Linked DNA regions of Arabidopsis thaliana. The protein of the gene in region 2 purifies or fractionates together with the protein of the main gene of each other region. This does not show direct contact. Each region holds a gene or a part of one and is shown on either strand. Other genes may lie near its edges.

Region 1 (4,550 bases), on a different chromosome or scaffold from region 2:
AATTCTTTACGATTTCATTTTTGGGTTTGGTGTTCATAATTTCCTTATGGGTTTTCATATTCTTTGTGTTTATTTTGCATTTTTCTTCTAGTTTTGAGTGAAGAGTGAATGTAGGTTTTGTTCTGAAGTTCTCATTTGATTTTTTTTATTAGGTTGGTTGATACTTTTGTTTAGCATGTCAAAAGTCATGCAACTTTGTTAAACTTGTTGTACATTTCTTCGTTATAAACTACTTATACGTAATGTCCTTTGTTAAACTCATATTTCTTTGTTGGTGTTAGGACCTCGAATTTGGAAAATAACAAGAAGGTTGATACGCATAATACAAACTTACAAAAGACAATTAAAAGAGGAAGAGAAGCCAAAACCTAATATCTAAAATATTTTCTTACTGTTAAAGTAGTGATATCTAAAAAATTAAAAACTGTCTTTGGCGAAAAAAAAAAGGGTTCAAGAATAATAACATGTAAGACCACCATGCATCATTCTTATTTCTTCTTTTAGTTTGAACTTCAATAATCCGTCCTCCTCTGTCTTAACCAACTCCTTAATTAATCTGTCTTAAGCTTCCTTAATTTCTACAACACTTCCTTTGTCTCAACCAAATTTGTGTAGTATCATTCATGTCCCACTCTTGTACATCTCTCACTTCTATGCTTAATTGGAAGATTGTATCACAGAACATGCCACAGCTTGTGCCCAATGCCTCAGTCTCGTTTTAACCTGTTGAGGATCATCTCCTGCAAATTTATAGAATATAACATCAAAACACAATCATATTATGAAAATATCAATCTGACGAAAAAGTTTAGGTTGCTATGTTACCTGGAGACATAACCTTCAAAGAATCAGAGTCGCTTATTGGACTACCAAAAGAGGAAGATCGGTCTCCGAGGGAAGTAGGACGGGAGGATGAAGAAGATCCACCACTGCCTGGTGTAGAAACCGGCGAGATCTGACGAGTCACAGCGAAGTAAAGGTCCAATGCAGGCAATGTAGTTGTAAGATGTTGCCCTTGCTCCTCGTTAAACCCGAACCCTAACTCAATAGATCCTTTGAGCTCACTCAAGTCCTCGTCCGTCAAGTCATCTCCTCCTTCGTTATGCTTCTCAAGGTGATGGAGCATCTGGCGACGGCGACGCTCCCATGCGATGTCTCTACGGGTCTCTAACATGGAGAGTTGCTTCGAGAGACGTTTCTTAGCCTTAGCTTTCGGTGGTTCCAATGGCATCTTTTGAAGCTCTTCTACTTCGCTGTCGTAGAAAGATGACGACGATGAGGTTGATACACTCAATGCTTCTCCAACCCTCACCATCTTTCTCTGTTGTTAATATAAGAAATCGCAGGCACGTTTATGATTATCAACAAGGGGCAGAATATTTTTGTGATGATGTGCCTTGTTGTACAAGTTAGCTCATGTAAGCGAGGAAAAACAGAAGAACTTGAATAGATTAGTGAAAATCCCAGAACTCTGATTCCCTTTAAAAAATGTTCATCCCGGAAGAAGAAAAGGGGTAAGAAGTTTTTTCTGTTTGGTTTATTTTATTAATGTACAGAAGGAGATATGTTTTCTGGTGAACTTTAATGGTGTGATATTACAAAACACAGAAACAATGAGTTTCTTCTACCACACATTTGGTGTTGTTTAAAAGTAGGGTTTGTAGAATTTCCATTTGCCATTTTTAAAGGGATCTCTCTGTTAATTCCCTGGGGAGATTCTGGAGCTTGATTGATTATGGAGACAGAATCCAAAAACAAACCTTGGTGGTTTTTGTTGGAATAACTAACTCTTACTTGATATAGGTTTTGTTCTAGAAATTTTTGGTGTTGTTGTTGGTCGAAACATATTACTAACACTTGCAACTAACAAGATGGTATAACCACTAAACTAGTACAAGTATCATTTAGTTAATTAAACATGTTAGTATGTTACAAAATTTACGAATCAATAACGAAATAAGCAAAATAACCAATTCCAAGCCAAGTGGGACAAACTCGACCGAAAAGACCAAAAATCAATCATAATTTGGTATCAAAACCATTATACCGGGAAGTACCAGAATAACTCGGTTGGGCCTAGCCTCTAATAAAAATCGGTCGGGAAAGAAACTCACAACTCTCTCTCACACAGCAACGTTCTATTGAAATTTGGCCTGAATCCCCAGAGTGCGACGAAAATGCAGCAGCAAGTAAGAAAATCATCTCGAATAGGAGTAATTTATTTTGTTAGCATCTTCTTCAATTGATGCTAATGGATGGTTGATGATGATGTTGCAGGGGAGTAAGAGTGGATCTGAGATGGAGGTGACATGGGAGGACCAGCAGAACATTAATATCTTCAGCCGTCTCAACAACAGAGTCCATGACCTCGATGACGATATCAAATCCGCCAAGGTTCTCTCTTTTATGTATCCTTGATTTTTTCTTCTACACGATTCTAGGGTTTTAAGATTAGGTTTTATTCATGGATTCAATTCGCTATGTTGCATCGTTTAGGTGGTGGAATACTGTGATTAGATCCAATCCCGTAATGAATTCACCAAATAATGAATCTACTACACATCGGTTTGCTCTCAGCTAACTGATTAACTCCTTGTTGATGAAATGAAATCAGCACTGCTACAACCCGATACAAAAGCTAATTACAATGATCCTGAGAGTATATGATAAGTGTTGTTGGTCTAGTGTAGGATCATGATTAAGATTATTTGAGATAATTCCTGATTTTATTGATTGTTGTAAATTGTAATTTTACTTCATTCAGATAACCCCACAAGAGAATCTCTATACTCTCATATCTCATTTTACATTCTCTTTAGGTTGTACCAATCTACTGTAACCTGCTTATACCATCCGTGCACTCTTACATATCACTGCTCCCTTAACTTTCTCCTTCGTTGGTGAATATAAGCCTGCTAGGGTATATCAGATCACTGTAATTAGATATTGTAATGGTGTTGATAGTTCAGCATGTGTAGGAAACAAAAAGGGAGATGTGGGACTTTGCAATAATAAGTGGATACTTGTCTTGTTCAATCGTTTCATTAGGGGGATTAAAACAGCATTCTACTGTGTGTTTCTGCATCTAGCTTGATTAAAAAACAATTGATTTATGCAGGAAAAGTGTGAAAATCTAGAGGATGCAGGGAACGAGTTGATCCTTGCTGATGAGGAGATGGTGCGTTTTCAAATAGGAGAAGTGTTTGCTCATGTGCCGAGGGACGACGTAGAAACAAAGATAGAAGAGATGAAAGAAGCGACCTGCAAAAGCCTTGAGAAACTCGAGCAAGAGAAGGAATCAATTGTAACACAAATGGCAGCGCTGAAGAAGGTATTGTATGCTAAGTTCAAAGATTCTATCAATCTTGAAGAAGACTAGTTAGTAGTTATTCCCAACTTTGTTTTTCTTCTATTGCATCAGTTTATGATTCTACTGTGAGTGTAGACCAAAGGATTCTTGAATTTAACATACTGGTTTTGTTCATTATGAAATTTCATCTGGTTAATGCATACTTTTCTTTTTCTATCGGAAATTATGTTTTTGGCAATTCTATAAAATACCATAACACCAATTTGTTTTTTCCCAGAATTTGTATACATTCAAACAAAATGAAACACACACGCCAAAATATAAATACAAGAATCTTTGGGAAATCCAAAATACAAAGCCCTAAATTGATTCCCTTAGCTTCTTCAATCAAAAACCCAAGAAATTACGAGTAATTCTCCAAACCGGTTTACTCAAATTGGGGTATAACTCGACGGTGGCCGGTTACCAGAACCGGCAGACACCAGGCCACCACGGCGAGCACTTTCTTCATCAAGAAACAAATCATCGGTATTACGAAAAGCGCCGTGAGCTCCGACGATGAGCAAACCAATGATCAGCGAAACCAGAACGTTTTCGCCCACATCTGTATATACCAATGCCAAAACCGTTACCAAGCTGAGTAAAACCAGCACGATCTTGTCATCTACTTCTTTCCCCGAAATCACAATCGAATCGTTTGCGTCTCGAGAGAAATAGAGAAGAATCCATCCGATGAAGACGACGATGAAAGCGATCATAGACATCGGATGGTAAATAAGGCCGAGGAAAACAATGGCGAGAACGGCGAGAGCGTAATTTCCACGGAAATAAGAGATGTTGTGCTTTAGATGCGCCATGGCTTCATCATACCCGCGAGGGAGAGAGAGCGCGGACAGATCGAGAATCTCTCGCCATGGACGGAGCGTCGTGATCATCGATTGCGTCGTCTGCTTGGCGCGTGCACTCAACGTCCCGATGATTGTGGTGTTGGAAGTGGAAGAAGGACCGACTCCTCCACCACCAGCGCCGCCATAACCGTACGGCGGAGGTTTCTGATTCATCGGAATTGGTTGATTTTGTGTTTGAAAATAACACAAATCTGTGGTCAAATGGCAAAACCTTGGATTTCAAAGAGTCCATGTGGAATATGGGATGATGGGAGGGACTTGTTCGGTGATTATTATTTTCTTTTGGGACCTTGTAGTTTTTTTATTATTACAAATAAACCATAAACAAATCA
Region 2 (8,334 bases):
ACAAATCAATTTGCAATCTCCTCCTCCAAAAGTTGTAATAATGGGTGCTAGGGGATAAAAAGAAAGAACAGAGGCATACATCAAAAGCTAGCTTTATCAAACCACATGCACAAAGTTTACTCAAATCAATATCAGAATCAGAAAAACAAGCTTAATCAACAAGTTTACATTAAAGTGTTTCCTTATCATATAAGAAGGGGATTCCTCTTTCTTTTTCCCAAGCCTTCACTTCAATGATTAGATCTTCAATCATGGCTTAGAAAAGAAACACAATACTATCATCTTAAGTCTTTGTTCATTACTTCAAAAAGAGAGGGTAATAGGGTTACGCGTATAAAGACTCACCAGGAATTTGCATGACAAGACTCTTAGCACGTTCTAAGTGTTCGTACTCTCCTCTTACGAGTTACAAGATTGAAGAGGTTTCCATCCTATAAAGACGATCAAGAATATATAATAAGAAATGCTTACTTTAATCAAGTCAATCTTCTCTTGATGTATCACAGGTCTTCACCTACCTTTTCGTAGTCACGAAGCCATTTTTCTTCTTCCTTAGCTTGCTTCCAGGTTTCAACTGCATCTATTATGCCTTTCCTTCTTAAAGCTTCAGATTTTGCTTCCTCATATTAGCATCCAATGCAGCACCAATATCAGATAGAGCACGATCACCTGACAAGATAACTTATCTTTTAAGCATATCTAAATTGCTGTTTTTTTCTTACAAATAGAAGAGTTCTTCACTTACCCTCATTATCAGTTAGCTCAATACTGCCTGTCGAGCTCGACAAAATGCCTTTAACTCGTATTGCTTCTGAAGTACATTCACCTTCAGGGTTTCCCCAGTTTTAGTTTTCTTTGCCACTTTGTCAGCCTTGTCTTTATTAGCAATCCTCTTCGTTTTGGGAGCACCAGTGGATTCCTTTCTTTTACCAGCATCATTAGTACTCGTCTTGGGAAGATATTTTGCACAACTCCATTTTTGTTTTTTCTTAGGGTGATGAATGACTTGGCCTGAGGTGAGAAATTGAGAGTGTAGAGACTTTTGCCTTTGTAGTTATACTCTGCCAAACTCCATCCTTTTAGCCAATCATCCACAAACTCTATGGGTAAATCATCATGATACCTTAAGTAAGCTAGTTTAGAAGAAGTGCTCACAACTTCTTGACCCATTTGAAACTGATGAACATAGTAATTGACACTGCCCCACTTTATAAGAGCACCATTGCAATTAAAATATCCAAGATGAACATTTTTAGTTGGATAAAAGAAGACCCACGACTTGTTGCTTTCTCCCTCTAGAAATTGAAAGTTGATGAAATCTCACTCCCATGGACTGCGATCAAATATTTCAAGATCGTCTATCCATGGAATTGCAACATCAACTCCAAAATCTACACTTTTAACCAAACTAATCATAAGTTAAATTTCAATTTACAATCGTTTATTAATATAGTGATTAAGTAAGTTATCAAGTATTAATTTATAGAGTTTTATTTTTGTATAAACTAACCACGAGTTAAGGAGGTGTTATTGGTTTATGATTTCAAAAGAGTTTTAGTGACTTAAAGTATCATGTAGAATCTGTTGTTATTTAATCAAAAAAATTTAAAAGTATGTTAAAAGTTTGTGTTATTCATTAAAGATTTGTAAAAAGTAATCTAAAAATCTTCATAAATTTTAGATTATTGAATTCATACTTTTATAAAGTCAGTAAATTTTTTGTGTTATTCTATTAAAACAAAAAAATCTCTGATTGTTTATGATTTAAATTATTATGTTATTGGTTCATGACTTTCTACATTTTCTTTCACAAAATAAAGTCATAGAAAGTCATGAATTTTTTTTCAAAAGATTGTTTTGAGAAACTTTAGAAGAAAATGTATTTAATTATAATATTCATAGCTGGAAATTGATCTAATATTTAATTATAATATTAAAGTTTCCAGTTATCCAAAAGAAGATGTGAGTTTTTTTGAACTTGGTAATTAAAAAAAGAAAGCAATATTTCAGATTTAATACAGATTCATAAGAAGGATCCATAAGAAATTAACTAAACCGGATCTGGTCTTGAAATAGTGACGGACGCGTGTCCCCCGGTCAGAGAGTTGCCGTCACAATCACGCGGAGAAAGAGCGACAAATCAAACCTTAACCGTTAAAACGTCATCGTTTCATATCCCCCCACAACCGAACCCCTTTCGTTCGCCCGTCTCTCTTAAATAAATCTTAGAGATTTCTGCAAAATTCGTCACTTCAATTTCAATTTTCAGATCTCAAAAACTTTTTCTCTTTTCCGATTCCAATCTTCTCTCGTCTGCTTTCCTCAAAGGTACGTTTTATCTTCCTTCTCATAGCTTCCGAAGAATCAATCTAGGGTTAGGTATTTCAATTCTGATCGGATTTTCTCTCTTCAGTGTTCTCTAATCTAATGGGAATTTCACATGTTTTCTCCAGGTTTTTTCATCACTTTATGCTTCACAAGCGAGCTAGTGAAGCTAACGATAAGAACGATAATACCATCATCGGTTCCGATTTAGCATCATCTAAGAAACGCCGTATCGATTTCACTGAATCTTCGTCTGATAAGTCTTCTTCGATTTTAGCTTCTGGTAGTAGCAGGGGTTTTCACGGCGATAGCGTCGTTCAGCAAATCGACATGGCTTTTGGTAATTCGAACCGTCAGGAGATTGATGAAGATCTGCACAGTCGCCAGCTCGCCGTCTATGGTCGTGAGACTATGAGGCGTCTCTTTGCTTCCAATGTTCTCATCTCGGGGATGCACGGTCTTGGTGCCGAGATTGGTATGTACTTCATTGGTTTTATGTTGAGATTGTGGTCTCCCTCGTCTCTTTGGTTTTTGAAACTTGTAGAAACACTGTTTTCGTATGCGTCGTTATTAGAAGCTGTGAATAATTGTGTCATCTTCAAAGATTTTACTCTTTAGTTGTTTTGTTTTGGTTCTCCTGATCTGTGATTGCTGGTATTCTTCAACATCCAAATCTTAGTAGCTTCCTGATGTTCCTTAGTTGTTCGATATCTTTGTTATTGGGGTTTCGTTATATGCCAGTTTTCTAAGATGCATGGTAAATGTGAACTGTTAATGATACTTTTTAGTCGATTGCTTTCTCATTCAGTTTTTGTTTTATTTGTTGATTTTCTTCAGCCAAGAATCTTATACTTGCTGGTGTGAAGTCTGTGACCTTGCATGATGAAAGAGTTGTAGAGCTATGGGACTTATCAAGCAACTTTGTTTTCTCGGAGGATGATGTTGGCAAGAATAGAGCAGATGCTTCTGTTCAGAAGTTACAGGATCTTAACAATGCTGTGGTTGTCTCTAGCTTGACCAAAAGCTTAAACAAAGAGGATCTTTCTGGCTTCCAGGTTTGTAGACAACTCATTTGTCTTGTTATTGGTTCTATATGGTCTGAGTCTTTTGTGTACTGTATCGTTCTGTAGATTACTTGTGAGTTTATGATAACACTGTAACTGAATGAGTAACATAAGAGTGGGTTGTTCTATTTTCGTTGCATATAAGAGATGGGTTTTGTCTCATTTAGTGTTAGGCTATTTCTAGTGTTTATTGATATTGATATGGAAGATTGGTGTACACTTTTCTCATTGGTGTGTGTTTCTTGTTGGCGGGTTTTACGCTGATACATCTACTTTTGTGCCAAACAGGTTGTTGTATTCTCTGACATAAGCATGGAAAGAGCAATCGAATTTGATGACTATTGTCACAGCCATCAGCCTCCTATCGCTTTTGTCAAGGCTGATGTCAGGGGTCTTTTCGGCTCTGTCTTTTGTGATTTTGGGCCTGAATTTGCGGTTCTTGATGTTGATGGAGAGGAACCCCATACAGGCATCATTGCGTCTATCTCTAATGAGAACCAGGCATTTATTTCCTGTGTCGACGATGAGAGGCTTGAGTTTGAAGATGGTGACCTAGTTGTTTTCTCAGAAGTTGAGGGTATGACAGAATTGAATGATGGGAAACCAAGGAAGATAAAAAGTACACGGCCATATTCATTCACCCTTGATGAGGACACTACTAACTATGGAACATATGTGAAGGGTGGTATTGTCACTCAAGTGAAACAGCCAAAGTTACTGAATTTCAAGCCATTGAGGGAAGCGCTTAAGGATCCAGGGGATTTTCTATTTAGTGATTTCTCTAAGTTTGATCGGCCTCCACTCCTTCACTTAGCATTCCAGGCACTTGATCATTTTAAAGCTGAAGCTGGCAGATTTCCTGTTGCTGGCTCAGAAGAGGACGCTCAGAAGCTTATATCGATTGCCACAGCCATCAATACCGGGCAGGGTGATTTAAAGGTGGAGAATGTTGATCAGAAGCTTCTAAGACACTTTTCCTTTGGAGCCAAGGCTGTCCTGAATCCTATGGCTGCAATGTTTGGCGGTATTGTTGGACAGGAGGTTGTTAAAGCTTGCTCTGGAAAATTTCATCCTCTCTTCCAGGTAAAATTTCTTTTCTATAGACTTGTGAGAACACATATTTAGTCTTTGCATGCCAAGTTCTCTGTTCGAGTTAAGAATTTTAAACACTAGAATTTAAACTCAAAGCTCTCTTTTGTTAAAACCGAATCAAAGTAACAAGACAGAAGTTGAAATACACCCAAGAGTAATTAATTCCTAAGCTCTCTTCATCCCTATGTAATATATTAGAAGCTAAATGAAAGCTGTTTAGATAAAGTAAATAAAGAAATAGAAATTCTAATGAAAATAAGGAACATTATCTAATACGCATCTCTCCTTTTTCCTAATGTTTTATGTTGTGGGAAGTTACAGCTGTTTCCTCTTTTTTTGATACATTTATATTGTTTAAAGTTTCGTATTGGGATCTGATGTTGTGACTCTTTTTGTTTATCAGTTTTTCTACTTTGATTCAGTGGAGTCACTCCCCTCTGAACCTGTGGACTCGAGTGACTTTGCACCAAGAAACAGCCGGTATGATGCCCAAATATCTGTATTTGGGGCCAAGTTCCAGAAGAAACTTGAAGATGCTAAAGTTTTCACAGTAGGGTCTGGTGCTCTTGGCTGTGAGTTCTTGAAAAATTTGGCTCTGATGGGGGTTTCTTGTGGAAGCCAAGGGAAGCTGACAGTGACAGATGATGATATCATTGAGAAGAGTAACCTCAGTCGTCAATTTCTGTTCCGTGACTGGAACATTGGACAGGCTAAATCCACAGTTGCTGCTTCGGCTGCTGCTGTTATAAATCCTCGCTTCAACATTGAGGCCCTGCAAAACCGTGTTGGCGCGGAGACTGAGAATGTATTTGACGATGCCTTCTGGGAGAACTTAACTGTTGTCGTCAATGCACTGGATAATGTTAATGCGAGGCTCTATGTTGATTCGAGGTGCTTGTATTTCCAGAAGCCTCTCCTTGAGTCTGGAACTCTTGGTACAAAGTGCAACACACAGTCGGTTATCCCACATCTAACTGAAAATTACGGTGCCTCAAGGGACCCACCAGAGAAACAGGCCCCCATGTGTACAGTGCATTCCTTCCCGCATAACATTGATCACTGTTTAACTTGGGCTCGCTCTGAGTTTGAGGGTCTGCTGGAGAAGACTCCCGCTGAAGTGAATGCATATCTTTCTAGCCCAGTTGAGTACACTAACTCAATGATGAGTGCTGGTGATGCTCAGGCGAGGGACACATTGGAGAGGATTGTTGAGTGCCTTGAAAAGGAGAAGTGTGAGACCTTCCAAGACTGCTTAACCTGGGCACGACTGAGGTAATATCACTCTTAATAGTTAGTTAGATAGTCTAGTCGTAATATGGAATGAAATATAGTCCGGTGTCTTACTCATGTCCTGCTACAGTCTCCTATTTTATGCTTTTGTCATGTGCTTCATCCCAGGATTGCTTAATTATTCGTTGAAAACATCATTACGAAACTAAAAAATAAAATAAAAAACTAGGAACAGTGTTATAAGGTAACTTCATTTCACAACAGGTAGCTACAACCAATATGTAGAAGTGGGAATAAATCGTTTCCTTCCTCTGTGGAGTCTGTGATTTTTGCAATAATTTATGTGTTTGTTATGTTATGTGACTAGGTTTGAGGATTACTTTGTGAACCGTGTCAAGCAATTGATATACACATTTCCTGAAGATGCTGCGACTAGTACCGGAGCTCCATTCTGGTCTGCTCCAAAAAGATTCCCTCGTCCACTCCAGTACTCGTCGTCCGACCCAAGTCTCCTTAACTTTATCACAGCGACTGCTATTTTACGAGCAGAGACATTTGGGATCCCGATACCTGAGTGGACTAAGAACCCAAAGGAAGCAGCAGAAGCTGTTGACAGAGTGATAGTCCCAGACTTTGAGCCAAGGCAAGATGCAAAGATTGTGACTGATGAGAAAGCTACCACTTTAACCACTGCTTCGGTGGACGACGCTGCAGTCATCGACGATCTCATTGCTAAGATCGACCAGTGTAGGCATAACTTGTCGCCAGACTTCAGGATGAAACCTATTCAGTTCGAAAAGGTATATTACCCTCCAATGTTATCGTCTTCACTGATATTGACTTGTCTTGTTTACAATTTTTAACTGAGTGTTGTCATTTTGAATTTGATGTGTTTGTAGGATGATGATACAAACTATCACATGGATGTGATAGCAGGACTAGCCAACATGAGGGCGAGAAATTACAGCATCCCTGAAGTGGACAAGCTGAAAGCAAAGTTCATAGCAGGGAGAATCATCCCAGCCATTGCGACTTCAACAGCCATGGCTACTGGGCTGGTCTGCCTCGAGCTGTACAAGGTCCTTGATGGAGGACATAAAGTGGAAGCTTACAGAAACACATTTGCCAACCTGGCACTTCCACTATTCTCCATGGCTGAACCACTTCCACCAAAGGTGGTGAAGCACCGTGACATGGCTTGGACAGTTTGGGACAGATGGGTTCTCAAGGGAAACCCAACTCTTCGTGAGGTGTTGCAGTGGCTGGAGGACAAAGGGCTTAGCGCATACAGCATCTCTTGTGGAAGCTGTCTTCTGTTCAACAGTATGTTCACAAGGCACAAGGAGAGGATGGACAAGAAGGTTGTGGATCTCGCTCGGGATGTTGCGAAAGTCGAGTTACCGCCTTATCGCAACCATCTTGATGTAGTGGTGGCTTGTGAGGATGAAGATGACAATGACGTCGATATTCCTCTCGTCTCTATCTACTTCAGGTGAAAAGTTTCGAGAGAATGAAGAAAGATGAAACTCTTGAGAGCAAATTTGTGTGTTTTGTCTCTGCATCTGCCCTACGTTATTATCTTTTGGATGCTTGTGGGTGAGATAACTGATTTTTACTTGAGGGGGATAGAGACTCATTTTATCTCTCTCGTTCTATTTTAGTCTTTCTTTCTATGTACAATTGCTGAATGTGTGGTTTACACACCCGTTACCTTCTAAACATGTTCTATCAAACAAATCTTCGAGTTTTTCGGTTTTTTCCATGTCTTCTTGCAGGTGGTGTTTCGCGATAAGAATCCGAAAGATATAATCTACCTTAAATAATATCCACTCTGTGAATCTATTTACAGAGAACAAATTGAAGCAAAGAACTAAAGATATAATCTAGGGTCAAGTCTCGAGCACCACCTTCTCTTAACCCCAACCCAAGATTCTAGACTCAAAAGCTGTTTGCCTTTACTTCCTTTTTACCGGTTATACTGACTGACTCGGCTATAGAATTGATGAGCTTTTTTAACAATAGGTATCGTAGTTTTCGTTTATTCGGTTTCATTGCATAAATTTTGGATTCAATTTGAGAGTGGTTCAATTTATTTGGTACACTACAATTCAAATTGGAGTAAGCAAACAATATATAGGCATGAAGGAGAAAGATTTTTTCACTGAAAGTGCCACAAATATATTAAGAGTACTGACGATTCGAGACTCGACTTGGCTTGATCACCAAGATTTATCAGCGCCTTCGTCGAATTGGCCAGATCCCACAACACGAAAATCAAGCTGCTTTTGATGCTTGGTACGTCTTCTTTCATCAAAATCATCATATCCCTCGAACTGTCATAATACAAATATCCTTGTTTCAGTTCAGATAACGAAGAAAGAACTATAGACTCAAAACATGAAACTCTGAACAAACAAACCTGGCGGAGAAATTCAACGGTTATCTCTGTGTTGTGGAGACCTAAAGTTGAGAGCTGCAAACACATCTTAAATAAAGCCGATGGCAGCGTCTTCAATCCCGTGTTATTCAGCTCCAGCGTCTGAATACCGAAACACTAAGTCAGTATTTGTAAACCCATGGCCATGGAACAAAGAGTAGTCAAAAGATTGTTTTTTACCTTTAG
Region 3 (8,624 bases), on a different chromosome or scaffold from region 2:
AAAGGACTTGAGCTTGACCTTCTTGATCCTTCTTTTCTATTAATAGCACTGCATAACTGAGGAAGAACAAAAGCATAGATTACGGTTTGATCTTTCTCCACAGAGAGTTTAATAATAGAATAAAGCTACAATTTGGCAAAAATCCAACTAGAAGAAAGTAATATAAGAGAGATCTTACTTGAGAAGCAACGTCGAATAAGCCAACTGCAGATTCTTATTTGGGGATGAATAACAGTTTGAGAAGGCATCAAGAATCTGCATTGATCCACAGCAATTAAAACCACTTCTCAAATTATTATAATAAACACACACATGTATAGGCACTATCTTATGTTTAAATGTAATTAGAAACTTAATTTATATGCCCAGACGCAAAAAAGCAATGTATATTAGACATAAAACCCAAAAATTTCTCCTCAGGTTGCAAGTCACAGCTAAACCAATTAGTAGGTTCATCGAGATCATCACACATCCTAGTTCTGGTATAAAATCATAGAAATGAAAGAGTCCTTACTTGACTATGATGCGTCTGTAGCCAGTAATGAAATGAAGAATTCTTGAATAGATTAACAAGGACACGAACAGTCGTTAAAAGATTTGCAGGAAGAGCAGAATCTTCTGTAACTTTCTTTATCAAATCCAAAAGCAGGTCTGATTGATATATAGTAACAGAGAGATACCAGTTAATAAAGGACATTACCTACTAGCTAGTACTTTCATTAATGTTGAGAAAGCATAGCTTCACGAATTAGATGATTACCATTGTTGTTTTCCACATGCTTGATAAGTAGACTTGCTCCATGATGATGCAAAACGAGCATCCTTACTATATCAGTAGCTGCATATTCAAAACCATAGGTATAAGAGCTTGACACAAGATAAACATAAGGCTATATCCAACAAAAGACAAAAATAAAGTGGCCAGCGAAAGGCAAAATGCTTTATGGCCTGCAAGAAACATCAAAAGAAACACAAGGAGACCAAGAATAACATCCAAATAAACCAAAACATATCTCATTTTAGATTGTTTAACAAGCATCTCGGAAAAAACTGACTTTGCTGTGGCTTCATAATATTGAGAAACATATGGCTACCATCAAAAGTTCAATATGTAATAAACAGTTCTGTTTGACTAATTGATTGACAAGAGAAGACCAACCAGGAAACATCATTGCCGGTGGCCATGCTTGTAGCACTTTCAAAAGCAAAGCAATATCCATGTCAGCAAAATTGGTAGAGTGGTAGTGTGATGTGTCCTTCAGTATATTAACGATTGCGCCTACTCTGGATACTTCGAGTTCGGTCAGGGACTTGTCATTGTTTACCTTCAAAAGATGGAAAAATTGTAGAAACATAAATACCAACAATAGTATAAGTAAAATAACCATTTAATCATTTTGTGTGACTAAAGTTGATACTGAAAGCTTACTGCGTCAGATCGTAAAGTAGTATTGAACTCTGTCATCTTTTTCAGAATCCCGTCATATTGAGCAGCATCGAAAACTAGCACACCTCTCTGGAGAGAGTTATGGAAGAAAAAAGGATCAAAAAGCTAGAAACATTAAACAGTAATAACTAATAAAGAAAGAGAACCAGCGTACTTTTGGAATGTGCTTGTATAAAGGTTTTGCCGGAGTTGCTGCAACAGAAAAGAGTCAGAGCATGAGGCAGCAAAAGAACAATACAAGAAATGAAGAAATTGAAAGTATTATGTGAAAATGACACAGACAGTGTATTCATACCAGCTGTACGAGATGCTTGCCCAGGCACATAAGCATTTGCTGTTACACAATAAAAGGCAAAACACAAAATTAAAATAAAATCCTAAAAACAAAATTTCAGACCAATTATTTTCAAAAATTTTATACCGCCGGTGAAGGGATCACGAAAAGATGGATTAAAGTTGAAGTCTTTCTGCCCAGAATTTTGTAATATAAATTCAACAATTTGCTGCCGATATGCAAAGGGGAGATTCTCTTTTAGAAGCCACTTGTCAGCTGCATCATAAGGATTGTCTGCCAAACAAGAAAAGATTTGAAGTATCAAAAACTGAAGCAGTTTCTTGTGGTTGCACTTGTAATAAAACAAGGCCAGTAAGAGCATTCAGGTACCTGATCGATTGTAAGGTAGCTTCCGGATAGGTTCCCCATCACCAATGTCAACATCGAAAACTAGAGAAAAAAAAGGGCTAAGAATTTTGTTCTTCGATTTTGAGAGATTCTCAAGTTTCCATAATAGGTCAAAATCTAACCAAAATCATATTGAACTCCCTCGTGAATTGGACGATCAGCCACACCATCTGGGCCATCAACAACCTCACCAATCTGAAAAAAGGCATGCAGTGAGAACTCAAAACATTCTACCACACTAAAAAGCCAATGTTTAATCCTTCATATGCAAACAAATGTTAGAGAGAAATCTATCTCATTTACTTGCTATCTACTTAAGAGATTGCTACTTCGAAGGAGGATCAGAAGTCAAAATCAGATGAAATTTTCCTCTCAGGTATGGGTTGCCACATTAAATAAAATCCTCGCAAAAGGCAAATTGCTGGCAGTACATGCTATCAATTTATGACCAGACAGCATGCTCATTCGTGGAAATTACAAGCCCTAATCCGATGGCAACTTTTCGATGAACAAAGTAACAAATATTCCTCAAGGTAATTGTTTCAAAGGGAAGTTATCTGTATATTCATGCATGCGATCTAATATATAGCAAAGCCGCATTCAGGTCAAGAGCAAAAACGAAATGCAGTCGACAAATAAAAAAAAAGATAAAAGTTCATTCTGTTTACTTACTTTGTCCCATCTCTGTTCTTTCATATTCCATGCATAAGCAACACCATTGTCTCCTTCCCTTACTACTTTTGTCTGGCCATCACTGGTACCTGAGAACATATATCAAATAAGAGAGGATGATGTTACAAGAATGCCAGCTTAATCTATTCAAATTTGATCGCCAGACACTATCAATTATCTTTGTGTTCTCTTGAGATTCTTTAAAATTTAGCCTTTCTCCCGTACGAAACATTAATATTACAATTAATTGGATAATAAATGGTACCTGGTGACGTCAAAGAATCAAGCCCTGGCAGCTCGTCAAGTTTCAATCCGCCAACCTTTTTCCTGAGATAAAGAACAGCACGCATATACTTTGCAGTTATATTTTGAGCATAAAAGACAAGAAAGCATACCCCGTCAGCAGGTCATATAATATGCATTGCCACGTGAAGAAAAAAAACTCAATGGACATAGAATTTAGTCGATAAGAATAGAGATCACCATAAATGATCAGATTACCTGCTTAGTTTGTATTGAGAAATTTGGGAATCATAGGCATCAATCTCCATCTGATCTGCAATCGCATCATGACGTACTGTCCAAACACGAACCACTCCATCTGAACATGCTGTCACAATATCTCCGGTTTCCAAAAACTTGGCATCCCAGATACAGCCTGGGTGTTCCAAACTCTGAACGCAGACTCCATCTGTACCAAAACAAAAATAACAAAGTAAGAACAATAGATCAACCTATAAGATCTAAACATGCTTTAAACCAAAATGTCAGTCTCTTTTCGCAAGTGATATCTATTATAACAGCTATTGCAGACCAATCTTCGTGAGCCTTTCAAACTGGTTTCTGATCAGTTGATTACTGTCTGACATACTAACAACTAACTTTCCATAGGTTGCAACTAAGTGATCAAATTTATAACACGTCTTCCACAAAAATATGATATATAGACATCTTTATTATTGAAAGAAAACTTTAAGAGCGAGCAACATACTGAAAAGTGGAGACATATTTTCCAAATTTAAACATCTCAGACCTCATATAACCTAGAAAACTGTGAAACATAAGTGAAGAACAGCCAAGGCATCAATAGAAACTAAGGAACCCGTAATCACCTTTCCATATCTTGGCATGACGATCTTCACTGGCACTAACAATAAGGCCAGACGAATGTGCGTCAACTGAATAAACAAGGGAGGTGTGGCCAACCATCTCAAGAAGAACTTCGCCACTTAGTGCCCATAACCTGATTGAACTGTTAGAAAAAATAAAATAGTGATTTACAACCTTTGCTGTGTACAAACACATGAAAGGATAAATAAGAGAAAACTCAAGTATCATATTATCCCCGGATCACAAAACTTATCCAGGTCATGCAAAAGACAACACAATTCGAGTTAAGCACATAAGGATTCACTTGGACAATGAAATTCAGTAAGGCATGAGTTTGTTGGAAGCAAATAACTTACCCATCATGTGATGCGGAAAGAAATCCTAAATCAGGCATCACAGCTAACCCTCTAACAGTATCTGCATTGTAAAATAAAAATACTTGTATAAGACAATAGTTTCTCCAATAACAAGGAATCCCTGACAACAGGCCAGTGTCTTGGCACTTCACAAGATAAGATATCTTAGAGCAGCTAGTATCAGATTCTATCTTATTTCCGGTATGCAGTTTCTCATATTGACAAGGAAATTTTGAGAGATACGAAATTTGGGAGAGAGTAATGAATTCACCTGTATGCCCTGAAAGAGTTTGCAGACTCGTTTTACCCTTCCAGAGTTTGAGACTGGCGTCACTTGAACCTGGTAAGTACAAGTAACATCAGTGAAAAATATGCCGTCAAGCCTAATCAAAAAGAAGTATATGCATCTTAAGAACAACCAAAAAATCATTTAACCTAAGCTTGCAAAACGATCATACTAGAAAATACAATCGAATAAGGAAGTCCATGGCAGCAAGAAAACAACAAAAAAAACAGAAACAAATGCATCAAATGACAGCTTTAGCTGGATCATGTACCTGAAACGAGCTCACCAGATGGCAGCCTTATCACTGCCTGGATAGGCGACTGGTGTGCATCCCAAGATTCAACAAGCTGACCGTTTCTCCATCGTTTCAGGGTTCTACAAATAAAAATAAATAAATGTAAGTTACATTACACAACAGTAGAGGGTAAATCAAAATTTGATGGATCTCTTTACCCCAGTATTACTAAAGCTAGTAAGCTACTCAAGACAATAATGCACACAATTAACACTCATAAAACCTTTACAACTACGGTTAAGATTCATATAATATCCTGTATGTGATACAATTCCTGGGAAACAGTGAAGGAAAACCGCAGGCTAGTACACTCACTGGATACTAAGTAAGAGGCATTATTGACTAAACAGTTGGTAAATGTCATACTAAGGAAATTACATGAACAGGAGGACTTACTGATCAACTGAAGATGAAACTATGTCCTCATTATCAATAGCAACACCAGTGACTTGCATCTGATGACCCTTCAATGTCTGAATATTCTCTCCATTCATCAGATTCCAAACAAAAACGAAAGTATCCATACTCCCAGAGACAAGTCTTCCTTCAGGGTATTCATCAGTTGGTGGGATCCATGCAAGTGGCCCAACAAAGCTAGTATGACCCAGCAGAATTTTCTCGGAGGTATACTTGCGCTTATCAGATGGATCCAGTGACCAAACCCTTATGGTCCTATCTCTTGATGAAGTAGCTATATTCTCATCATTACACACACAAATCCCACGAACCTGAAGATGTTGATAAACCATGAGTTTCCATTGTCACAATCACAGTTATTATTCAATTGCATAAGCTCAATAGCATAAAGACAATCACACTCCTGCCGAAAAATTGTATAAATTTGATCTATATTAATGCCATTGGCACGCAAGGTTAAACATCAAACCCTATTAGATAAAATTCTCAAATTGAGTACAAATTCGTTGAGAAGTCAACCTAATAATAAAACTAATCAAAACAAAGCTTCACACTAACTATCAAATCAGCTCATTGAATTGAAAAACCCTGGATCAAAAGCGGAACAGTGAAATTGGAATCACGAGGGTGAATTTTGCTGAACCCTACTGAATACAAGACTTAATTTCAAAATCTAGAGTAGAATCGATCACGAAAACGAGAAATCAAAACAGTAGAAAGAAGAAGTGGATTTAGCAAAGAGATCTTACATCATCATCGTGGCCATGAAGCTCGCACCTGAGCTTGTACTCGTTGAAATCGATATCCATGACCATGACTGAGAAGGAGAAGCAGCAGATTGAGAGATACCAAACGCCAAATTGCTGCGACTCAAAAAGTGACTTGAGGAAGGAGAAACACTCTGCAGGAGAAAAACTAATTTCTTATTTCCTTTCTTTTATATAAGGATAAACGTATAATAAATAACCTTTGTGGGCTTTCAAAGCCCGGCCCAATTGATAGACTGAAAATAATAATAAGCTGAATAAAGGGAACAATGAAACACGATGACGTGTCGAATTTAATAATGACGAAAAAGGAGGGGACAGTGGTTTAAATTTCCTCACCTTCCTAAGAGTACTACTTTCTACGAGAAGTGGCATAGACCGTAATTAGCAACAACCTCTGAGCCTATTTTCACAAAACGATCGTAGTCCTTCATGATATTTTTCTCGGCCATTAAATTCTTCTTCTTCTGCACTGTTTGTTTATAAATAAAACCTGGAAGCTCAGTTCCATGGTAAGCTGTCTTCTTCTATCTGGTTCCTTTCTCTGTCTGAATTTCTTTTTTCCAATAATAAATTTTACAAATGCTGTGTTCTTGATTGGCTTTTTTAATCCTCACTGAGATTTGTGCTTGAATCTTGATTATCTTGGTGAGAGTTTTTGTTTTAGACAATGTATATATGTGTTTGAGAATACAAGCTTCTTCTTTATTTTAATCCAACATTAATCAGATTGTATGAATTTGAATAAGTCTATTAAATTACAAGACATTGTTTTCGTTTTCTGTTGATAAAGTACTTTGCTATCGATTCTTATTTTGATGTGTCTTTGATCATTACCTGCAGGTGAAGTATGTTGTGTTCAACCATATGAGCTCTGATGGTGATTCTGGTAACAGGAAATTCATGAACTTTGTGATTCATTGCATCAAGAATAGAAGACTAGAAGGGGGAGGTTAATTAGATTATCTTAAGGTGTATAAAATGGAAAAAAAGAGTGTACCAAATTCTGATAAGTTGTCTCTGATTAGAGTGTTAAGAGGTATAATATGTCTGATGGTGTTAGTTTCAACAGCTTTTATGATGTTGATATTCTGGGGGTTCTTATCAGCTGTAGTGTTGAGGCTTTTCAGCATTCGCTATAGCCGTAAATGTGTTTCCTTCTTCTTTGGCTCGTGGCTCGCCTTGTGGCCTTTCCTCTTTGAGAAGATTAACAAAACCAAAGTTATCTTCTCTGGTGATAAGGTTCCTTGCGAGGATCGAGTATTGCTCATTGCAAACCACCGAACAGAAGTTGATTGGATGTACTTCTGGGATCTTGCACTGCGTAAAGGCCAGATTGGGAATATCAAATATGTGCTTAAGAGTAGTTTGATGAAATTACCTCTCTTTGGTTGGGCGTTTCACCTCTTTGAGTTTATTCCAGTTGAGAGGAGATGGGAAGTCGATGAAGCAAACTTGAGACAGATAGTTTCGAGTTTTAAGGATCCCCGAGACGCTTTATGGCTTGCTCTTTTCCCCGAGGGCACAGATTACACGTACGTTTCCTTTCTTTGGAGTATCATTCTTGTTTAGAGACCTTTTAGTTAAAAGCATTTTACAATGGAACTTTATGCAGAGAGGCTAAATGCCAAAGGAGTAAGAAATTTGCTGCTGAAAATGGCCTTCCGATACTGAACAACGTGCTGCTTCCCAGGACAAAAGGTTTCGTCTCCTGCTTGCAAGAACTGAGTTGCTCACTTGACGCAGGTTTGTCTATACTTTTGCTGGTTTGCATCAGTGATTTAAGATCCTAGGCCTTTCCTCTCTTCTTGAAAAACGCAAACTCTGATGCAACACTATTGCACTTGCAGTTTATGATGTGACCATCGGTTATAAAACCCGCTGCCCATCTTTCTTAGACAACGTTTATGGAATTGAGCCATCAGAAGTTCACATCCACATCCGTCGTATCAACCTGACCCAAATCCCAAATCAAGAAAAGGACATCAATGCTTGGTTAATGAACACATTCCAGCTCAAAGACCAGCTGCTCAATGACTTTTACTCCAATGGTCATTTCCCTAACGAAGGAACAGAGAAAGAGTTCAACACAAAGAAGTACCTCATAAACTGTTTGGCAGTGATTGCCTTCACCACCATCTGTACACATCTCACCTTCTTCTCATCAATGATTTGGTTCAGGATTTATGTCTCTTTGGCCTGTGTCTACTTGACCTCTGCTACGCATTTCAATCTTCGTTCTGTTCCACTTGTTGAGACTGCAAAAAATTCCCTCAAATTAGTAAACAAATAAACTTTCATTGCTTTCAGTTCACAACTTCACATGATGGAATATTTTTTACTTTTGTATTTCGGGGTTAAGAATCAATCCACTTTCTACTTATGCAATGTGAGGTCAAGCTGCAATATATGATTAGCTCTATTTTAGAATGTCTTCATACATTCATCTACACATGTTAGATCATAGCTTGGGATAATAAAACACAAAATACAACCATAAGACACATTTTGCCTGCTACATAACTCACAGAGCCGACCACCAACTATTCTCATTAATAAATTGTCAAATTGGGATAATGCTTCCAAGATATA
Region 4 (8,440 bases), on a different chromosome or scaffold from region 2:
AGAGGAGATAAGTTAATGGACAAGTGAAACGTGTTGTCCATTTATACTTCTTATTCATAGAACTAAAAAATAATGTGTAATTGAAGAACCATGCATAGATATATAAGAGCTATTGAGATTTGACATGTATTTTTTCACACGACCAAATTAATTCCAAACATATATCTATAGGTTTTTTTGGGGGGTTATAATAGTTATGTATGAAAGATAGATGTTTTTTTTTTTTTTTTTTTTTTTTTTTTTTAACATTACCTTCATTTATAAAACGAAATCGAATACACACCGCCTCCAAAACGAGTAACACCTACAAAACAACAAAGAAAAGTAAAACAAAGCATATGATCAAATAAAGAGACCGAACCAAGTGGCGAGGTACGATAAACCATTGGGGCCAATACGTTGAGCTCGTGAGAGAGGATCAAGATGAGTGCGAATAAGATTCTTTATCTCCATAATCAGTCCAGCAGCAGGTCTCGAAGAAGAAGTGTGCAGACGAGTGTTCCGTTCCCTCCAAAGAGTATAAACATTGATTCAGAGAAGAATAGATGTTATGTATGAAAGATAGATGTTAAGTTATTCGTTAGAGAAGAATGTAGGGATCTATAATGTAAGTATTGTCTTCATTGATTCAGAGAAGGAGAAAGGTGATTTAATTATGGAGAAAAGGAGCTTTTGTTTCTTCCTTTTTTTAGCTATTCTAATTTTTGAAAGGGAATAATTAGATTCCACGAATAAGAGAGAGTAATGTGTTAATATGCATATTTTGATTGGACAAGAGGAAAAAAATCTTGGGACAGATATATTTTTATAACTTTGGAATAATGTTAGTGGAAGTAAGATATGGCCCACAATGGTTTTTACTTTTATATCAGAAAGGTTCTTTATTGAACACTTGTTAAAGAAAAAAAAAGCATTTCATGCTTCCCAAAAATCCGCCTCCTTACATTTTCATTAAACTGAATTATTGTTTAAAGGGATACGAGTATTTTCAAAAGAGAAATAGTTTTCTATATGGAGAAACTTGTATGGAAAAAAATCGGCTCTGCTATTTTGTTGTCAACAACTCTAGTGGATTTAGGCCTTTTTAACTTCTTATATAGAAATTTGAACCAACACAGTGAGATCTAAGGACATGAAGTTAGATCACTGACCTATCAATTCCAGTTTGATTTTGATATATCATTGTCCGTAAAAAAAATATGAAAAATTTCTAAAATTGAGGTAACTGAAAAAGGTGACTTCTGTTCTCTTTAGAGTATTGTTATCCCGCGATTCTCATTTATACTATTCATCAAATTACCACTAGTTCATGCATAAGTTATACATTGAGTCATTGATAAACGATATATACTCGGACTATTATTAGTATTATAGTTTTCAGCACCACATGTAAAGTTGTCTTGTTTCGTAAATATAGTTTTCGTCGACACTGTTGTGGATGTATTTGATTTTAAATTCTGAGAAATGTACAGACTTGTGATATTCCGTGATTGGAATTGGCCTTATGAAAACAAGACAACTTTAATTAGCTAAGTAGCCCAAAAACACATTAATTAAACAATCGAGTTGAACCAAAACATTTTAGCATGCTAGAAGAACCAAGGAATCTTTGTGGAGTTGGATCTGATTCATCACCATTGTTCATTCTTCATAAATCATAAGCATTCATATATTACATGAACTTTGAATACCTCTTTTTCCCAAGAGTAGACATCCACCTTTTTTTTTTCATTTCAAAAATCATCAAACGATATCCTCACACTTAGTAATTTTCGTGTTGAACAAGAACATGTAAAACCCACATTGGCCACATTGTGATTTATGGTTTCTTCTTTTGATTCATTCTACATCCATGCATATGGGTCAATCAAATAGTCTTGGGTCTATTGGGTAAATACAAACTCTAATGGGCTGTACAATATTCTTTTTGTGTATCCAAACTCTATCCTTAATTTAGAATATTTTCAAAATTAACCCAACAAAAAGTCGGTTAACGAAATTTCCCCAAATTGACAACAACTTTTGCTTTATTGCAATTCTCCCCAAAACCTCAGGCAATAAGAAAGGAATTTAGAAGGACGACGACGTTTCTCATCATCCGTACCTTCCTTGTTAAGTTGTAACGGAGACGTGTGATATCACTCAACAACACATATCTGTCTCTCCGTCGTCAGAGAGTTTCTTTCGCCGATTTCGCAAAAACCCTATGGAGCTCCTCCGATCCAACTTGTCTAGGGTTCAGATCCCTGAACCTACTCATCGCATCTACAAGCATGAGTGTTGCATCTCCTTCGATACTCCGGTAAAGCCTCTCTCTCACTTCGTTTTCTTCTTCAAATTCCGACTACTCTCGACTCTTCTCTCGTTTTCTTCGGTTTTGATGAATTCGCAATGATGATTTTCAGAGATCCGAAGGAGGATTGTTCGTTGATATGAATAGTTTTCTTGCTTTCGGGAAGGATTATGTTTCTTGGAACTATGAGAAGACTGGAAACCCTGTTTATCTTCATATTAAGCAGACTAGGAAGTCTATTCCCGAGGATCGGCCTCTCAAGAAACCGACTCTGCTCGCTATAGGTATATATACAATGATGATTACAATGCCGTATCTATACTGATTTTTGAACATAGAGTCGAGAGATTGGTTTTGAACTGTTAATCAATTTGCAGGTGTTGATGGAGGCTTTGATAACAATGAGCCAGAGTACGAGGAGTCTTATAGCATAGTCATACTTCCGGATTTTGTTTCACTCCCGTTTCCTTCTGTTGAGCTACCAGAGAAGGTGTTTGTTAGCACTATGTTGTTGATTTTAGGTGTGTTATCAGAGAGTGGTTTATGGAAAACACATTGCATGTATTTAGCTTTTTGTGATTTGTTATTGCAGGTGAGGATTGCTGTCGATACTGTAGTGAATGCCGTTGGTGCTGAGCGGAAAGAGCAAGTTGCAGCTTGGACAGCTGAGAAAAAGTTAATTAGTGAACATGCATTGACACTGCAGCAAATCAAGAGTGGCATTGTCATTCCTCCCTCTGGTTGGAAATGTTCTAAGTGTGATAAGACGGAGAATCTCTGGCTTAATCTTACCGATGGAATGATTCTCTGTGGAAGAAAAAACTGGGATGGAACTGGTGGAAACAACCATGCTGTTGAGCACTACAAAGAGACAGCCTACCCTCTTGCTGTAAAGCTTGGAACTATCACTGCTGACTTAGAAGCAGCAGGTAAAGTTGTCTTGTTTCCTTATTCGTAGAACCAGAGATTAGTCATTAAACTTCACTTTTGTGTATGGCTAATATCAGTTGATAGTTGTCTCTTTGGGGTGGATAAGGGGGACTTCCTGCATCACTTTGTTTTTTTTTTTTAATGTTGATGCATGTGGATTATCTTGTTCTTTGGATGGGTTTTGATTTCTTCAGCACTTAATCATTGCAAATTTTTTGGCAGCTCAGATGTTTATTCCTATCCGGAAGATGACAGTGTTTTGGACCCGCTCCTGGCTGAGCATCTGGCCCATTTTGGAATTGACTTCTCGTCGATGCAGAAGGTTAGTAATGATGGTTCATGGTTCTGTTAAAGTATAAAAGTGAAGAGTGGATCTTGTCTGACACTTTATATTGTTGTTTGTCTGTGGTAATGAATTTCGTGTACTGCATTTTTATTAGATACTCAAGCTTAGGTATTCCCATAATGATATGGTTTGTTAAGATACCCATCCTGGGTTGCATTGGCAAGTGCTGGTTGTACTAGAAAGCTTATGTCTTGTGTTCATTTCTTTCTTCAGTATCAATTGCCACAAAACAACTGTAGAAACATGGAATATGTCTGAGACTAAATGTTTCTTTACCAAGAGCAAGTAGACTCACATCAGTGTTATTGCGTACTTTTTTATAATTGCGATTAAAAAGACGCAGTGCACTTGGAGAATGTAATTTCAGGTCGTTTTGAGACAATAATTCCCATTCACGCGTTCAGTCTGTTTACTTGTAATTGTTGCGTCACATGTAAACATTTACAATAGTAAACTGTATTGTGTCTTTTTTCCTCATTTTTCCTTGCTCCATGTACTGCTTAAGTTAAGAGGCTTCATTTCCCAAAGCATAGGTTTTATAGTCACCTGTATTTGTTTTCTTGTTTGTACTGCCTTGATCATCATCTTTGCTAAAGATATCCCATGCTGGTTTTAATCTGAATAATGTTAACTTTCTTGAAATGTTTGCTACAATTTTCACAGACTGAAATGACAACTGCTGAAAGAGAACTTGATCAAAATACAAATTTTGATTGGAACCGTATACAAGAGAGTGGAAAAGAATTGGTGCCAGTTTTTGGACCTGGATATACCGGACTTGTCAATCTTGGGAACAGGTACTCTAATGGAAAAATTGTCAGGGATTTCGTTTCCTTGTTGATGTCTTATGCCCATTTCTTTTCTTTTGCCAGTTGCTACTTGGCAGCTACGATGCAGATTGTTTTCTCTACCCATTCATTTATTTCAAGGTAGATGCCATTGCCCATATTTCTTTTTCACTTATATAACTTAAATCAAAACAAAGCTTTTGCTCTTTGATTCAACTGTAGTAACTTTTGGTTCTGAGATTGTTGCAGATACTTTTCACATCAGAGCTTAAAGATGGCTTTTGAGATGGCTCCTGCTGATCCAACTTTGGACCTCAATATGCAATTGTGAGTTATTGTTAGAAAAAATGTTACTAAGTTTATGCTCTGGACTTTCTGAAATCATGTGATTGAAATCTTGGCATCGTTATGATGAAAGGGTTTTAAGATTATATTTGTGCATACTCTGTATCTGCATGCACGTGCTTTAGTTTCTGTTTTTCTCTCCGTTTGGTTTGATATGCTGTGCACTTTTTCTAACTAATCTGATTTCCATGAGGAATAATTGCATGGTAATTTGCATATTTATTTCATACTCCTTGCACTGTTGGTTGTAGAACAAAGCTTGGACACGGCTTACTATCTGGGAAGTACTCAATGCCTGCAACTCAGGTATAACTATAGTAGGAAATATTTTTGCTTGTATGCATATATATATGTATATGATCTAAACCACCTTTTAGAGCCTCAGTACATTGATTTCGCCTTTCTTCTGATTGCAGAAGGATGCTACAACTGGAGATCCTGTAAGATTTTTATTTGAAGTCCTGTGTTTAACTTTTGAATAAATATATGTATGCGGATGGCCACACTTTTTTTTTTGCATACCCCACTTGTGTTGATTTCTGATGACTTTACATCTTGTTTCGTTTTTTAATCGATAATAGAGACAAGAAGGAATACCTCCTCGCATGTTCAAAAACGTAATTGCCGCGAGCCACGCAGAATTCTCTTCTATGAGACAGCAGGTGAAAACCATGTCTTTTTTAATGTTCGGAGTTTTGTTTATTTTTTAACTTGTATTGGAACGATACTCCTTTTCGGCATCAGTTAACGAAATTATTTTATGTTTTCATACTAACTAGCACCAATCTGTCTTGTAGGATGCTCTCGACTTTTTCCTCCATCTGGTAGGCAAGGTTGAGCGTGCTAGCAACACGACACCAGATTTAGACCCCTCGAGGAGCTTCAAGTTTGGAATAGAAGAGAAGATCCTTTGTCCGTCTGGAAAGGTTGGATATAATAAGAGGGAAGACTGTATTCTTTCTTTGAACATTCCGCTACATGAGGCAACTAATAAAGGTATATCCTGTTCGTCTGTCTATGTTCCTCTTCCTTTATCGTTTGGCGTGTTTCTTAATTTTGCTTAATGTTTGGTGATCAAGATGAATTAGAAGCCTTTCACAAGCAAAAAGCAGGAAAAGGATTGGAAGAGAATGATATGTGAGTCAATGGACTTAAGTTTAAATCTGTTTCATAGTTTCACTGCTTATCTAAGATTTTTTTGTTTATTTTCAGGAGGTCAAGTGATGAAATAGTACGCCCACGAGTTCCTTTAGAAGCCTGTCTAGCAAATTTTGCATCATCAGAGCCGATTGAAGACTACTATAGCTCTGCTTTGAAGGGAATGACAACAGCTATCAAGTAAGATATTGTTTTTTACCGAGTGAATTCTTTTGCAACCAAGATTAGAATGAAAGCAAGGCTTGACTTTTGGTTCCCATTTTATGCAGGACAACTGGTTTGACATCTTTCCCAGATTATTTGGTCTTGCACATGCGGAAATTTGTTATGGAGGAAGGCTGGGTGCCAAAGAAACTTGGTCTCTTTCTTTCTGAAACAATGATCCTTATAATGTTCCCCTATTGTCCCTGTATATAAATACTTATTATCCTTTCTTGATTTACTGTGGCAGATGTATACATTGATGTTCCGGATGTTATTGATATCAGCCACATGCGTAGCAAAGGACTCCAACCTGGGGAAGAACTGTTGCCAGATGGCGGTATGTTGTTATATTTATCACAGGAGTGGTGTGTTCATAATTCACATAAATAATGATTGATTGACTCCATTTATTGATTGTTTCAAACTCGTGGTATCTTTTCTGGTGTCATGACTACTAGCCTTTGGAATTAGCACTCAGTTTCCTAATCATTAAAAAGTATCAGCATCCCTTAAACGGTTTCTTTATGGCACTCAGTCTCCTTATAATTCTGTTGGCTATTGGATTTTTCTGTATACAGTTCCAGAAGAAGTGATGGAATCAGCGCAGCCCGTGGCAAATGAGGAGATAGTTGCACAGCTAGTCTCAATGGGATTTAGCCAGCTTCACTGCCAGAAAGCTGCCATAAATACTTCCAATGCTGGGGTTGAAGAGGCAATGAACTGGTTACTTTCTCACATGGATGATCCAGGTAATTGAAAATAGTTCCACAAGTCTTTAGTTGAGGCTCAACTAAATTACGACTCGAGACCGATTTCTAATATGATGAGGCATTATGTTTCATAGACATCGATGCACCAATCTCCCACCAGACATCTGACATTGATCAATCAAGCGTTGATACCTTACTCTCCTTTGGTTTTGCTGAAGATGTTGCTCGGAAGGCACTAAAAGCCTCGGTATAACACTTTTGAGCAAATTAGTTACATTTCTGCGAGGCTGTTTTTTCTTTACTCATTACTGAAATCGGTTTTGTTTTTTTTGTCTTTAATCAGGGAGGAGACATTGAGAAAGCAACAGACTGGGTATTCAACAACCCTAATGCATCTGTTTCAGACATGGATGTATCCTCTAGCAATTCAGCGCAGACTCCGGCTCAAAGTGGATTACCAGATGGAGGAGGGAGTTAGTTTCTTAAACCCTCTTTTGAGTCTTTCTATCTCATTTTGCAAAACAAATGTTAGTGTTTCGTTTTTTCCACAAAGCAGTATGAATAAAACTCTAACTCAAGATTGATCTTAAATGCAGAATACAAGCTGTTTGGAATAGTAAGTCACATGGGAACATCAGTGCACTGTGGTCATTACGTGGCTCACATATTGAAAGAAGGCCGCTGGGTAATTTTCAATGACGACAAAGTTGGTATCTCGACTGATCCTCCTAAAGACATGGGTTATGTCTACTTCTTTCAGCGGCTTGATTGATTCGATGGAGCCAGTTACAGAGACAAAAACTAATCCTTTTTTTTTTAAATAGAAACTTTTAAGGTCGATAGGGTTTTTAACATTTGGATTGAGGTGACCCATGTGACTAGTTTCGGTTCCAAAATCTTACATGTGGATTAGTAAATTTGGTTCACTTGATGATTTTATCTGTGGAACTTCGTCACAAATTTTAAGACCCGTTTAGAAGCTAAACATCATTCGCTGTCTTTTTAATTTGCCTCCTCAGTTCTCAACTACTTTCAGTTTTTTTTTTTTTTCTTTTGGATAAAAGTTTTGAGCTTTTCCTTCAGTTTTGGCATCATTGGTGCTTAGATTTATGAAAAATGAAGATATAAAAGGGGAATCATAAGTGTTTTTTTTTACATTAGCAGAAAAACTGTTGATTAAAATATTTAATCTCGGGATACACTGAAATTGGAGATCTTTTAATTAGTTTTTAAGATCAAAAAGTGGGCTAATTTGTTATATAGTTAACACTGGCCATCATTATAATCTCGAAGAGAAATAACACGAATTGTTTCTTCTTCTCCAAACACGTGTTCTTCAAATTCGCTCATATTATTCTCGATTCCCACAAACAGAAAAAGAAGATACTAAAAATTATAAAATCCCGATAATAGAATCATGAAATTGTTTCCGTTTATGGGTGTTTTAATTGCGTCTAATCGGAATCTCTTGCCGTTATCGTCTGCTTATCAGGTAACGAAAAACAGATGCTGTTCTTTACTCTTTTATTGATTTGGGAATCCATTTTCAAAGCGTTATACGATGTTTTAGGGATTTATGGTGAAATACTGAGACCATATAGAATTGAATTTTATGTGAAATTTTGGTTTAGGTTTTGTTGGATTTGTTGCTTTTATTATAAAAATT

The links.
Region 1: the proteins of UBA1 (region 2) and AIP3 fractionate together in Arabidopsis thaliana (co-fractionation; one large-scale study listed by BioGRID). This does not show direct contact.
Region 3: the proteins of UBA1 (region 2) and AT3G18860 fractionate together in Arabidopsis thaliana (co-fractionation; one large-scale study listed by BioGRID). This does not show direct contact.
Region 4: the proteins of UBA1 (region 2) and UBP14 fractionate together in Arabidopsis thaliana (co-fractionation; one large-scale study listed by BioGRID). This does not show direct contact.

Annotation. Positions count from the first base shown.
Region 1 is NC_003070.9:2,808,754-2,813,303, reverse strand, and holds AIP3 (ABI3-interacting protein 3), read left to right. Parts: upstream 1-1,990; 5' UTR 1,991-2,177; coding exon 2,178-2,189; intron 2,190-2,277; coding exon 2,278-2,394; intron 2,395-3,118; coding exon 3,119-3,379; 3' UTR 3,380-3,526; downstream 3,527-4,550. Other genes in the region: AT1G08790 (1-phosphatidylinositol-4,5-bisphosphate phosphodiesterase epsilon-1, putative (DUF1685)), read right to left, coding at 658-740, 826-1,315; PRA1.E (prenylated RAB acceptor 1.E), read right to left, coding at 3,742-4,371.
Region 2 is NC_003071.7:12,851,505-12,859,838, reverse strand, and holds UBA1 (ubiquitin-activating enzyme 1), read left to right. Parts: upstream 1-2,111; 5' UTR 2,112-2,328; intron 2,329-2,453; 5' UTR 2,454-2,469; coding exon 2,470-2,800; intron 2,801-3,162; coding exon 3,163-3,380; intron 3,381-3,677; coding exon 3,678-4,472; intron 4,473-4,884; coding exon 4,885-5,753; intron 5,754-6,078; coding exon 6,079-6,511; intron 6,512-6,610; coding exon 6,611-7,207; 3' UTR 7,208-7,510; downstream 7,511-8,334. Other genes in the region: AT2G30105 (LRR/ubiquitin-like domain protein), read right to left, coding at 7,931-8,044, 8,131-8,250, 8,329-8,334. UniProt on the Arabidopsis thaliana protein: Activates ubiquitin by first adenylating its C-terminal glycine residue with ATP, and thereafter linking this residue to the side chain of a cysteine residue in E1, yielding a ubiquitin-E1 thioester and free AMP.
Region 3 is NC_003074.8:6,499,230-6,507,853, reverse strand, and holds the start of AT3G18860 (transducin family protein / WD-40 repeat family protein), read right to left. Parts: upstream 6,187-8,624; 5' UTR 6,081-6,186; coding exon 6,015-6,080; intron 5,577-6,014; coding exon 5,245-5,576; intron 4,929-5,244; coding exon 4,825-4,928; intron 4,608-4,824; coding exon 4,539-4,607; intron 4,329-4,538; coding exon 4,268-4,328; intron 4,054-4,267; coding exon 3,914-4,053; intron 3,493-3,913; coding exon 3,303-3,492; intron 3,129-3,302; coding exon 3,067-3,128; intron 2,891-3,066; coding exon 2,802-2,890; intron 2,325-2,801; coding exon 2,252-2,324; intron 2,172-2,251; coding exon 2,112-2,171; intron 2,016-2,111; coding exon 1,869-2,015; intron 1,782-1,868; coding exon 1,743-1,781; intron 1,640-1,742; coding exon 1,602-1,639; intron 1,517-1,601; coding exon 1,430-1,516; intron 1,326-1,429; coding exon 1,160-1,325; intron 839-1,159; coding exon 761-838; intron 652-760; coding exon 515-651; intron 256-514; coding exon 179-255; intron 57-178; and 1 more. Other genes in the region: LPAT5 (lysophosphatidyl acyltransferase 5), read left to right, coding at 7,014-7,567, 7,648-7,778, 7,883-8,325.
Region 4 is NC_003074.8:7,202,107-7,210,546, reverse strand, and holds UBP14 (ubiquitin-specific protease 14), read left to right. Parts: upstream 1-1,999; 5' UTR 2,000-2,206; coding exon 2,207-2,302; intron 2,303-2,405; coding exon 2,406-2,577; intron 2,578-2,670; coding exon 2,671-2,783; intron 2,784-2,885; coding exon 2,886-3,222; intron 3,223-3,450; coding exon 3,451-3,545; intron 3,546-4,232; coding exon 4,233-4,366; intron 4,367-4,441; coding exon 4,442-4,498; intron 4,499-4,606; coding exon 4,607-4,684; intron 4,685-4,953; coding exon 4,954-5,008; intron 5,009-5,118; coding exon 5,119-5,142; intron 5,143-5,283; coding exon 5,284-5,364; intron 5,365-5,499; coding exon 5,500-5,698; intron 5,699-5,781; coding exon 5,782-5,839; intron 5,840-5,914; coding exon 5,915-6,040; intron 6,041-6,129; coding exon 6,130-6,218; intron 6,219-6,311; coding exon 6,312-6,401; intron 6,402-6,642; coding exon 6,643-6,813; intron 6,814-6,908; coding exon 6,909-7,021; intron 7,022-7,117; coding exon 7,118-7,247; intron 7,248-7,370; and 3 more. UniProt on the Arabidopsis thaliana protein: Recognizes and hydrolyzes the peptide bond at the C-terminal Gly of ubiquitin. Involved in the processing of poly-ubiquitin precursors as well as that of ubiquitinated proteins. Involved in seed and embryo development.